2 linked regions of the Diceros bicornis minor genome follow. The protein of the gene in region 1 purifies or fractionates together with the protein of each later gene. This does not show direct contact. Links are inferred from orthologs where the notes say so. Each region holds a gene or a part of one and is shown in the gene's direction. Other genes may lie near its edges.

Evidence for each region.
Region 2: the proteins of CDK19 (region 1) and MED12L purify together in Homo sapiens (affinity purification with mass spectrometry; 3 studies listed by BioGRID and IntAct, counting the BioPlex papers as one, with this or other methods). This does not show direct contact. The link is inferred for Diceros bicornis minor from reciprocal best matches to the Homo sapiens genes CDK19 and MED12L.

The regions. Positions count from the first base shown.
Region 1 is NC_080762.1:24,560,893-24,564,797, forward strand, and holds the start of CDK19 (cyclin-dependent kinase 19), read left to right. Parts: upstream 1-1,349; 5' UTR 1,350-1,500; coding exon 1,501-1,628; intron 1,629-3,905.
Region 2 is NC_080741.1:4,125,658-4,129,562, reverse strand, and holds the start of MED12L (mediator of RNA polymerase II transcription subunit 12-like protein), read left to right. Parts: upstream 1-1,095; 5' UTR 1,096-1,268; intron 1,269-2,059; 5' UTR 2,060-2,192; coding exon 2,193-2,291; intron 2,292-3,905. UniProt on the Homo sapiens protein: May be a component of the Mediator complex, a coactivator involved in the regulated transcription of nearly all RNA polymerase II-dependent genes.

The DNA.
Region 1 (3,905 bases):
TTTAATTGTCCTTAGACAGATGGTCAAAGCTTGGCTATGGGAACCGCAGATGCTAGCAGGACACTACGTCTAGAGTGCCAAGAAAAGGATGATTGGCAGCTAGGGCTCAAAAGTTACATATTCTGGGGCTGGCCCGGTGCCGCAAGTCGTTAAGTTCGCGCGCTCCGCTGCAGCGGCCCAGGGTTCACAGGTTCAGATCCCGGGCGTGCACTGACGCACCACTTGTTAAGCCATGCTGTGGTGGCGTCCCATATAAAGTGGAGGAAGATGGGCACAGATGTTAGCTCAGGGCCAGTCTTCCTCAAGGAAAAAAAAAAGGGGAGGATTGGCATCAGATGTTAGCTCAGGGCTAGTCCTCCTCACACACACACACACACACACACACAAAAATACACTTTACAGAATATTGTTGGCCAGGAACAATATGAAGATGCCATACCAAATATGCACAAACAGAAATATTGATTCCCTATAGAAGCACATTTAATAAATTAATTAAAAAAAAGTTACATATTCTCAGACCGATGCTGGAACTAGGAAACCGCTGGAAGTTCAGTTTTTGAAATACGGTTTTGGTAAAGAAAAAAGATTAACCTATCAGGAAGAAGCAAGCGCAAGCAATTACCAATCAAGAGCGGGAAAGAAGCCAAACCCTGGGGATACCCACGCACCAACGAGAACGTCATTCTCCAGTCTCCGCCAATGAGCGGTTGGACGGGGGGGCGGGGCAACAGGCGGACCAATTGCCACAAAAAACAAACAACAATCTGCAGTACAACTGTCCTAACCACAGTCCTCGCCTCTCAAACCACTGGAGCAAACTGGTGGGCTGGGCGGTTGTTAAATACTTTCCACCCTCCTCCTCGCTCAGGGGTACGGTGCAGTAGTTCCCGCACACCAGAACAAGAGCCGTTTTTCCACCAGCTCCCACAGACTCGCAGAAAGCACACTGCAACTTTGCGCTATCTACCTTCACAGGAACTGGCAGTGCGGCGCTACCTGAGGGGGAGGGGCGGCCCTAGTGCGCAGGCGTGCATGCCTTGTGGAGGCGAGGCTGTAGCGGCCCAAGGCAACCTGGGTGTTGTATTTCTTTCGCGGGTAAAACTCGGCTGCTGTTGAGGTCTGCGGAACTACATTTCCCAGGAGCTTCTGCGACCTCGGGGCGGGCGGGCTGGTTCGTTAATGAGCTCGAGGAAGCCGCGGCGCGGCCCACCAGGTTCCAAAACAAGGAAATGAAGGGGGGAGGCGGGACTGGGGGTGCCTGCGGGAGCCGCCGCCGCCGCCGCCGCCGCCGCGGAGGAGGAGGAGGAGGTGGAGGAGGTGGTTGCTGCTGCCGCCGAGGAGTCCCTTGCTGAAGGCGGACCGCGGGGAGGCGGGCGGCGCGCGCGCGCCCGAGAGGCGGCTGTTGGAGAAGTGGAGCGGCGGTCGCGGGGGGAGGAGGAGGAGGGACTGAGCGGCGGCGGCCCCCGCGTCCCGGTGCCTCTATGGGGGAAGCAGACAATGGATTATGATTTCAAGGCGAAGCTGGCGGCGGAGCGGGAGCGGGTGGAGGATTTGTTTGAGTACGAAGGGTGCAAAGTGGGACGCGGCACCTACGGGCACGTCTACAAGGCGAGGCGGAAAGATGGGTAAGAGCAGGGGCGGGGGGAGTAGGCTCGCTCGGGTCCTCGCCCTGCCCGCGACCGCGCGGGATGGGTGGGTCGGAGCCCGGTCGGGCCGTGCTGGAGGGGCGAAGCGGAGGTGGTCGCGGGGCCGCGTCCCGGGGCGGACTCTGAGGGACTCGGGTTCTGCCCGCCCTCCGCGCGGCCCCGTCGCGCCCCTCGGGCTCCCGCGGCGCAGCCCAGTTGGGGGGCGTCGGTCCGTCCCGGAGGGCGCCCTCCGCGTGCGCGGAGCTGGCGGCGGGACTGGAGTTGGGACCTCGGTGGGAGGTGGAGTTTGCGGGGTCTGGTCTCCTGGGGAGACGCGGAGGGCTGGGAGAGCTCCGCCGAGGAGTTGCCGCTCCGGCCCTGAGCTGGTGACGGTCGTTGTGCAACTTCCAATCGGCGGAGCGCCTCCCGGGGCGGCGGTTTGAAACCTCGCCGAGGAGCCCGTCGGGCGGCCGCGCGCCGGGGTCCTAGCCAGCCTCACGGGTCTGATCCTCTGGGCACCTCCGCCCTTGGGGCCGGCCAGCCACTGGCCCCTCGGTGCAGTCCCTTCTGTCCCTGTCGCATGCCCGGCGACTGCTGGACCCCTGCTCCCCCGCCCCGGATTTCGCTTGTTCACATTCTGAATTCCACACCTTCCCCCGAATGTAGGACCTCCTGCGAGACTAACCGCGTTTTGCCCGCAGAACTTCGGAATCCGCCTAGTTCTCTGGCAACTCATTTCCCCCACCTTGGGTGTTCTTATGTCCTCTGCATCTGCTGCCAAATAACTGCGTGCTGGGGTTCCTCGGGCACCTAGATTATCCAGAACGGAATGCGGAGTGACACAGAGCTGGGCCTGAACCTTTGTTTTCCTGAGAGTCGAGGGAGACCCGTAGGAACCCCTTAGAAAGCCCTTACTGATTGTTCTCTCTGGAGGAGGCGAGCTGGGTACTGTACTGAGAACGCCTGTCCTTCGTCCTGGAGGGCAGACGGGCTCCACTGCAGGACAGGTGGAACCAGCTCCCGGCCTGCGAAGAGTAGGTTTAAACCAGCGGTCACCTCGCTGTCCATCCTGGCAGGAATTTCCCTCCCCCAGAGTTAGGGAGCCCAGGAACATCTGCCTGTCCCGCTTAGACTCTCAAGACGGCGAAACTATGTGGAAGAGAGTTTTTATGATCGTAGCGGAACATTTCCAAATAAACTGAATATCAGCCACAATGACATTAGTAAGATTTGCAGTGTTGCTTATCGTTCTGTGCACTCTGTTGTAATTGATACGGTTGATTTATGAACTCCAGGACCAAAGTAGGTAGGGGGTTGTGTGCGTGCGTGCTAATTTCATACAGGAAACGAAAAAGCACAACTGTAAATTGTTTTATCATAAAGTATCGTGAAAATTAGAAGGTATTATACAAGTGTAAAGGATTGTTATTATTGCAAATAATTTTTTTCTTGTTATAACTCAGCGGGCCCCATAGTATTCATTTGTTTCTAAACTTTTCTCATAATTCTTTGAGTTAATTGCCAGGAGTCCTTGCATGAGTATCTTGGAATGTGAGGTACTGTAATTAACTTGTATTTTGTTTTTGGAATATCCACTCTGCTTGTTACACTTGTATTCTTGTGGGAATCTTATCAGATATATTTGGGGAAAGCACATCTAGTTTTCCTATTTGGACATTGGCCTTACAAATCATACGTGGTGTTTTTTCATGATCCTCATGCTAACTTTGTAATATACTTGACCTGGAATTTTAAAAATGTATTTAAATATTTTTGTTGTTAAAATAGCTTCCTTTTAGCAGGCAACTTTTGAGAAAAAGTTAAAAATTCTGCTTCTGAATTGTATTTGAATAGTATGGGCTACAACAAAAACCAGATACTTTAATTCCTGCTTCTATTTGTTCTTTTGGAATATTTCCCCTTCTAATAAAGTTCTTGATTCGAATACACTTCCTTCTTGAGTGAAATTTGTTTGATTAGAATTAATAGAGCTTCTTTAGTAGAGTAAGATCAGTTTGTGTATCTTCAAAATAATATGTTTTTTAAAAAACCTTTTAGGATCTGAAAGCATTCGTTTAAATCACTATATTACATGTAAGGAAAATCATTATGAAGCTTTTTTTCTTGGGCCAAGGGTCTAGTTGAGATTTGAGGCTTTACCATAAACACCCATCTCTTGTGGGTTGGTAGTGGGATTAGTTTTATGTTCACTGATACCAGCCATTTGAAAGAACAAAAAGTTTTTAGTGATGGTTCTAAACTGTGATACAGATTTGC
Region 2 (3,905 bases), on another chromosome or scaffold:
TCAGGAAATGCCCCCGGGGGAGGGTAACTGTTCTCTAAGAGTAATTCCTCAGGTTGAGTAAAGAAGACAGAAACTACAGGCCTGACTTGGCCTCAGGCTGAGTCGGGAGGTGCTAACGGGTCAGGGTCGGGAGCGGGGAACTAGATTCCACCACATTGTCTTATCTACCCTGTTCTTGCTTCCCTTTGCTTGAAGCCAGCAGAGGGGAGTAGATATTCAGATTTGGGCAACGCCTCCTACTATGTGCCAGGCGCTGCAGGAAGGCTTCGGGTAGATTCACCCGGTTGCTCCACCGTCCTATAAAGGATGGACCCGGGAGTCCGAGAAATTCCTCCAGGTGCGGGGAACGTGACACACTTGGGCAAAGGCAGTTCAGGAACCCAGTCCTTCCAATCCGGTCGTGGAGAATGGATCAGAAATTTGGGATCGGGCGGAGGCAGCTCTGTGGCTTTGAGCAAGTCACTGCACCTCCTTTAGCTCACTCAATTTCTCTATCTACAAACAGGACACAGTAAAACCTTATAAGGTTTTTTTTTAAGGATCAGGGACCTTTACTGTCAAGATCCTGGCACGAAGCGAGGGCTCCATAAATGGCAGCCATCATTCTTGGCCAAGTGCGGGCGCATCCTCCCGGCGCGCCTCCCGCGGGGTCCCTGGGGACAGGCCAGGCCCGCCCCCGAGGCTCCGGCGCCCGCGGCAGGTGGCCCAGCATCTCGGTGCCCACGCCCCGAGGCGCGCGGGCGGGTGGCACGACCGCGTCTCCCCCGGGGGCTCACCTCCTCCCTCCACACGCCGGGCAGGTGAGGTTTGCGGCCCAGGCCACGGGGACGGCGACCTCAGGCGAGGTCGCGGGGTCCGGGGCGCCCCCCGCCCGGCGCAGACTCGCCCCGGGGTGGCCGGCGCGGGGGCCGCGGGCTGCGCGCGCTGCGGCTGCGAAAACCCGGCGAGCGGATCGGAGCGCTCGCAGCCAACTCCTCCGCGCTCCGGCCCCGAGCTGGGCATGCTCAGTGCGGCCGCCGCGCGCCGGCCCCAACTCGGAAGCTCGCGCTCCGGGCCGTGGGGGCGAGGACGCCGGCGGCGCCGAGCCGGCGTCGCCCGCCGCCCCCGGGCAGCGGCAAACTTCGCGGCGTCCCCGGAGCTCGCCTGGCCGACACTGATCCCCACAGATCAGATCGAATCCGGTCCCCCCATCGCACCCCGAATCATGGAGGCTGCGGCCGCCCGAGCGCCGCCGCCGCCGGCCCCTGCCCACTAGCGGGGACCAACAGGTAAACTGCGGGGGAGGCGAGGAGGGGCGGCCGGGGGAGGGCGGCGGGTTGGGGAGCCCGAGACGCCGGGGCTGGCTGCCCCCGTCGGCGCTCCTCGCCCACCCTCCCCACCCGCTCTTCCCGGCCCCTGGAGGGGCAGCAAAGGGTTAAGTCGGCCCCGCGCCACCGTGAGCACGGCCCCCTCCAGCCGCTGCGACCGCCAGCTGCGCGCCTCGGCGCCTGCCCGGAGCCGCCGAGGGGACCCGAGCCGCCGACGCGCCACCGGAGCCCGGCGGGCGTCCGGGAGGCACCGGCCGCGTCTCTGCCTGCCCATCCCCTCCAGGCCTCGCTCCCTCCGCCCCGGCCGGGTCGGCGCCCAGGTGGCGGGGTCTGCGGGGCGCGTGGCGGCGGGGAAAGGATCCCTGCCGAGGTAGAGGGACGGGGGCGGGCCGCTCCGCAGTCTCTTCCTCCGGCCGGAGGACCACCCTCGCCTCGGGCGAGCACTTGAACCACCCGCCCGGGCGCCAAGAAAAGTTTTTTTTTCCCTGTGCTCCTCCCCCACCGCCACCCTGCGTCCGGCTGTGGTGGGTTTGGGTCCATTGGTGAAAAAAGTCACACGTTTCCATCAGCTGCTCCTCCCCCTGGGGACAGGGTGGGGGGACCCAGGCTGACCTCCACCCCCTCCGCCGCCGCGCCGGAGCGCTGCGTCCCGGGGCTCCTGCGCCGCCGGGGGCCCGCCGAGGCTGCCCCATCCGTGCGTGTCTGCGTGCCGGGCAGCGGCAGCATCCAACCTGCTTTCTTCCTGCCTGCAGCGCCACAGCGAGCGAGCGAGCCAGCGAGGAGGGGGAGCGAGGGAGCCTGTCTGCAAAGTGCTGCTCCCTGGTGCTCAGAGGCGGCTGCTCCAGCTCCAACTCTCATTCATTTCGCCGGTTAACATGAGAGATCATGGCCGCCTTCGGGCTTCTCAGCTATGAGCAGAGACCGCTGAAACGCCCCCGGCTGGGGCCGCCCGACGTCTACCCGCAGGACCCCAAGCAGAAGGAGGTAAGAGCGCCGGCGGCCTCCCCGGCCCCCGAGGCCGCGCTCCGCAGCGCTGACCCGGGGCCAAGTTGGCCCAGCGGGCATCGCCGGCGCTGCGGGGGAAGGGTCGGAGAGGGAGGCCGGCGGCGGGGGCCGGGCTTGGGGGCCGGGGGACCCCCGGCGGCGCAGCCCGCGCGGCTGTCAGTCCCCGCGCTCCGCTGGGGCGCTCGCTCCCTGGGTGCCGGGTCGCTTCCCCGTTCCCGGGCCTTGCACGGCGCCGCCGGGCGCTGCACCAGGTGCTTCCTTGCCGAAACCCTCCCGCTCGCTCTCCCCCGCTTCTGCCGGCTTTATTTTCCTCCCGGCTGCTTTAGTAAATCCTCGCAAACTTTTTGAAAAATGTTGGAATGCAGTGCATCCGACACAGGTCTTGCGTTTTGCGCCAGCTGAGCAGGGACGGGGGTGGGGGGGTGGGGGACCTTGTCTATTCAAATTTTCCAGTTGGGAGTGGAAGTCGTTTTTTATCCAGGTGATAAATATTTAGCTCTTTGAACGTACTTTTTTCTGTAATCCCTCTGCCCTTTAAAAATCAATATTGAGGGGAAACACTGATTTTCGTCCCCAGAGGCGATTGGCTTAATTGCTGGAGGCTGTTTTGTATATGTAAAAGCAGTCAGGTTATCTTGGAAGGGAGTAGTTCCCGGGATTGCTTATTTCTTTGAATGAAATTAATTGGAGAAACCTTGACTCTTGCGCTAGTTAGGCCAGCTTCAATGGCTAGAGTAACCATGGCATTTTGGGCCGTGTATGTGTTTGTCAGTAGTTAACGAGTAATTATGTAACAACTCGCCAGTTATAATGATCACCCTTGGCTACACAATTTGCCCAGGGATTTGCCTTTTTCTTTCTTTCTTTTTTTATGATCACCTGCTCCCCAGCTGCGCTTTCTGAGTTTGCCAGCTGCAGCCCACCCATCCTCTGTTTCTTCTGCTAATCACGAAGTGAGCACATTTCAGAACTTCTCTTGCTGGGAATCTAAAAACCTTCTATTAAAAGTTTACAGGCCCACTGACATCACAGAATGGGCTGTTGAAAGAAAGCAAGGAGGGCTCTTTAAGACTTCCCTTTTGATTTGATAAGTGTATCTGCTTCAATAATAGAGGAAGAATGCTTGTTCTGGTTAAACTGTTATAATGTTTCTAAAAAATAAGGAGTGACAACTCCTTTTAGAGGGTTAGCACGTTAACATGTTTGAGGCTGGTGGAGTCCTTCAGATTGAAGCTGAGGTTTTACAGGTGGTTCTCAGCAGAGGCTTAACTGTGAGGATAGGAGTTTGACCAGATTCTGCAGATTTCACTCCCTGCTGCTCCACCCCAGAATAAAGTTAATTGTGAAGGACTAGAAATAACAGACACCAAAGAATAAGTATATAGAAAGTTAATAACTTAAAAATTAGTGGCAGGAAATTCTTAAAGTTTTGCTGGGGACAGGGACATTGATTGGCCTTTATCATCTCATAATTAACTTGCCACGTCTTTCCAGAGGGCAACATAATTAATAGCATCTCCACAGTTAAGGGCCGGTGGCCTGTGGTGCTTTTGTAGCATTTATTCCTCAGGTCGACACTCATTCAGGATTGGG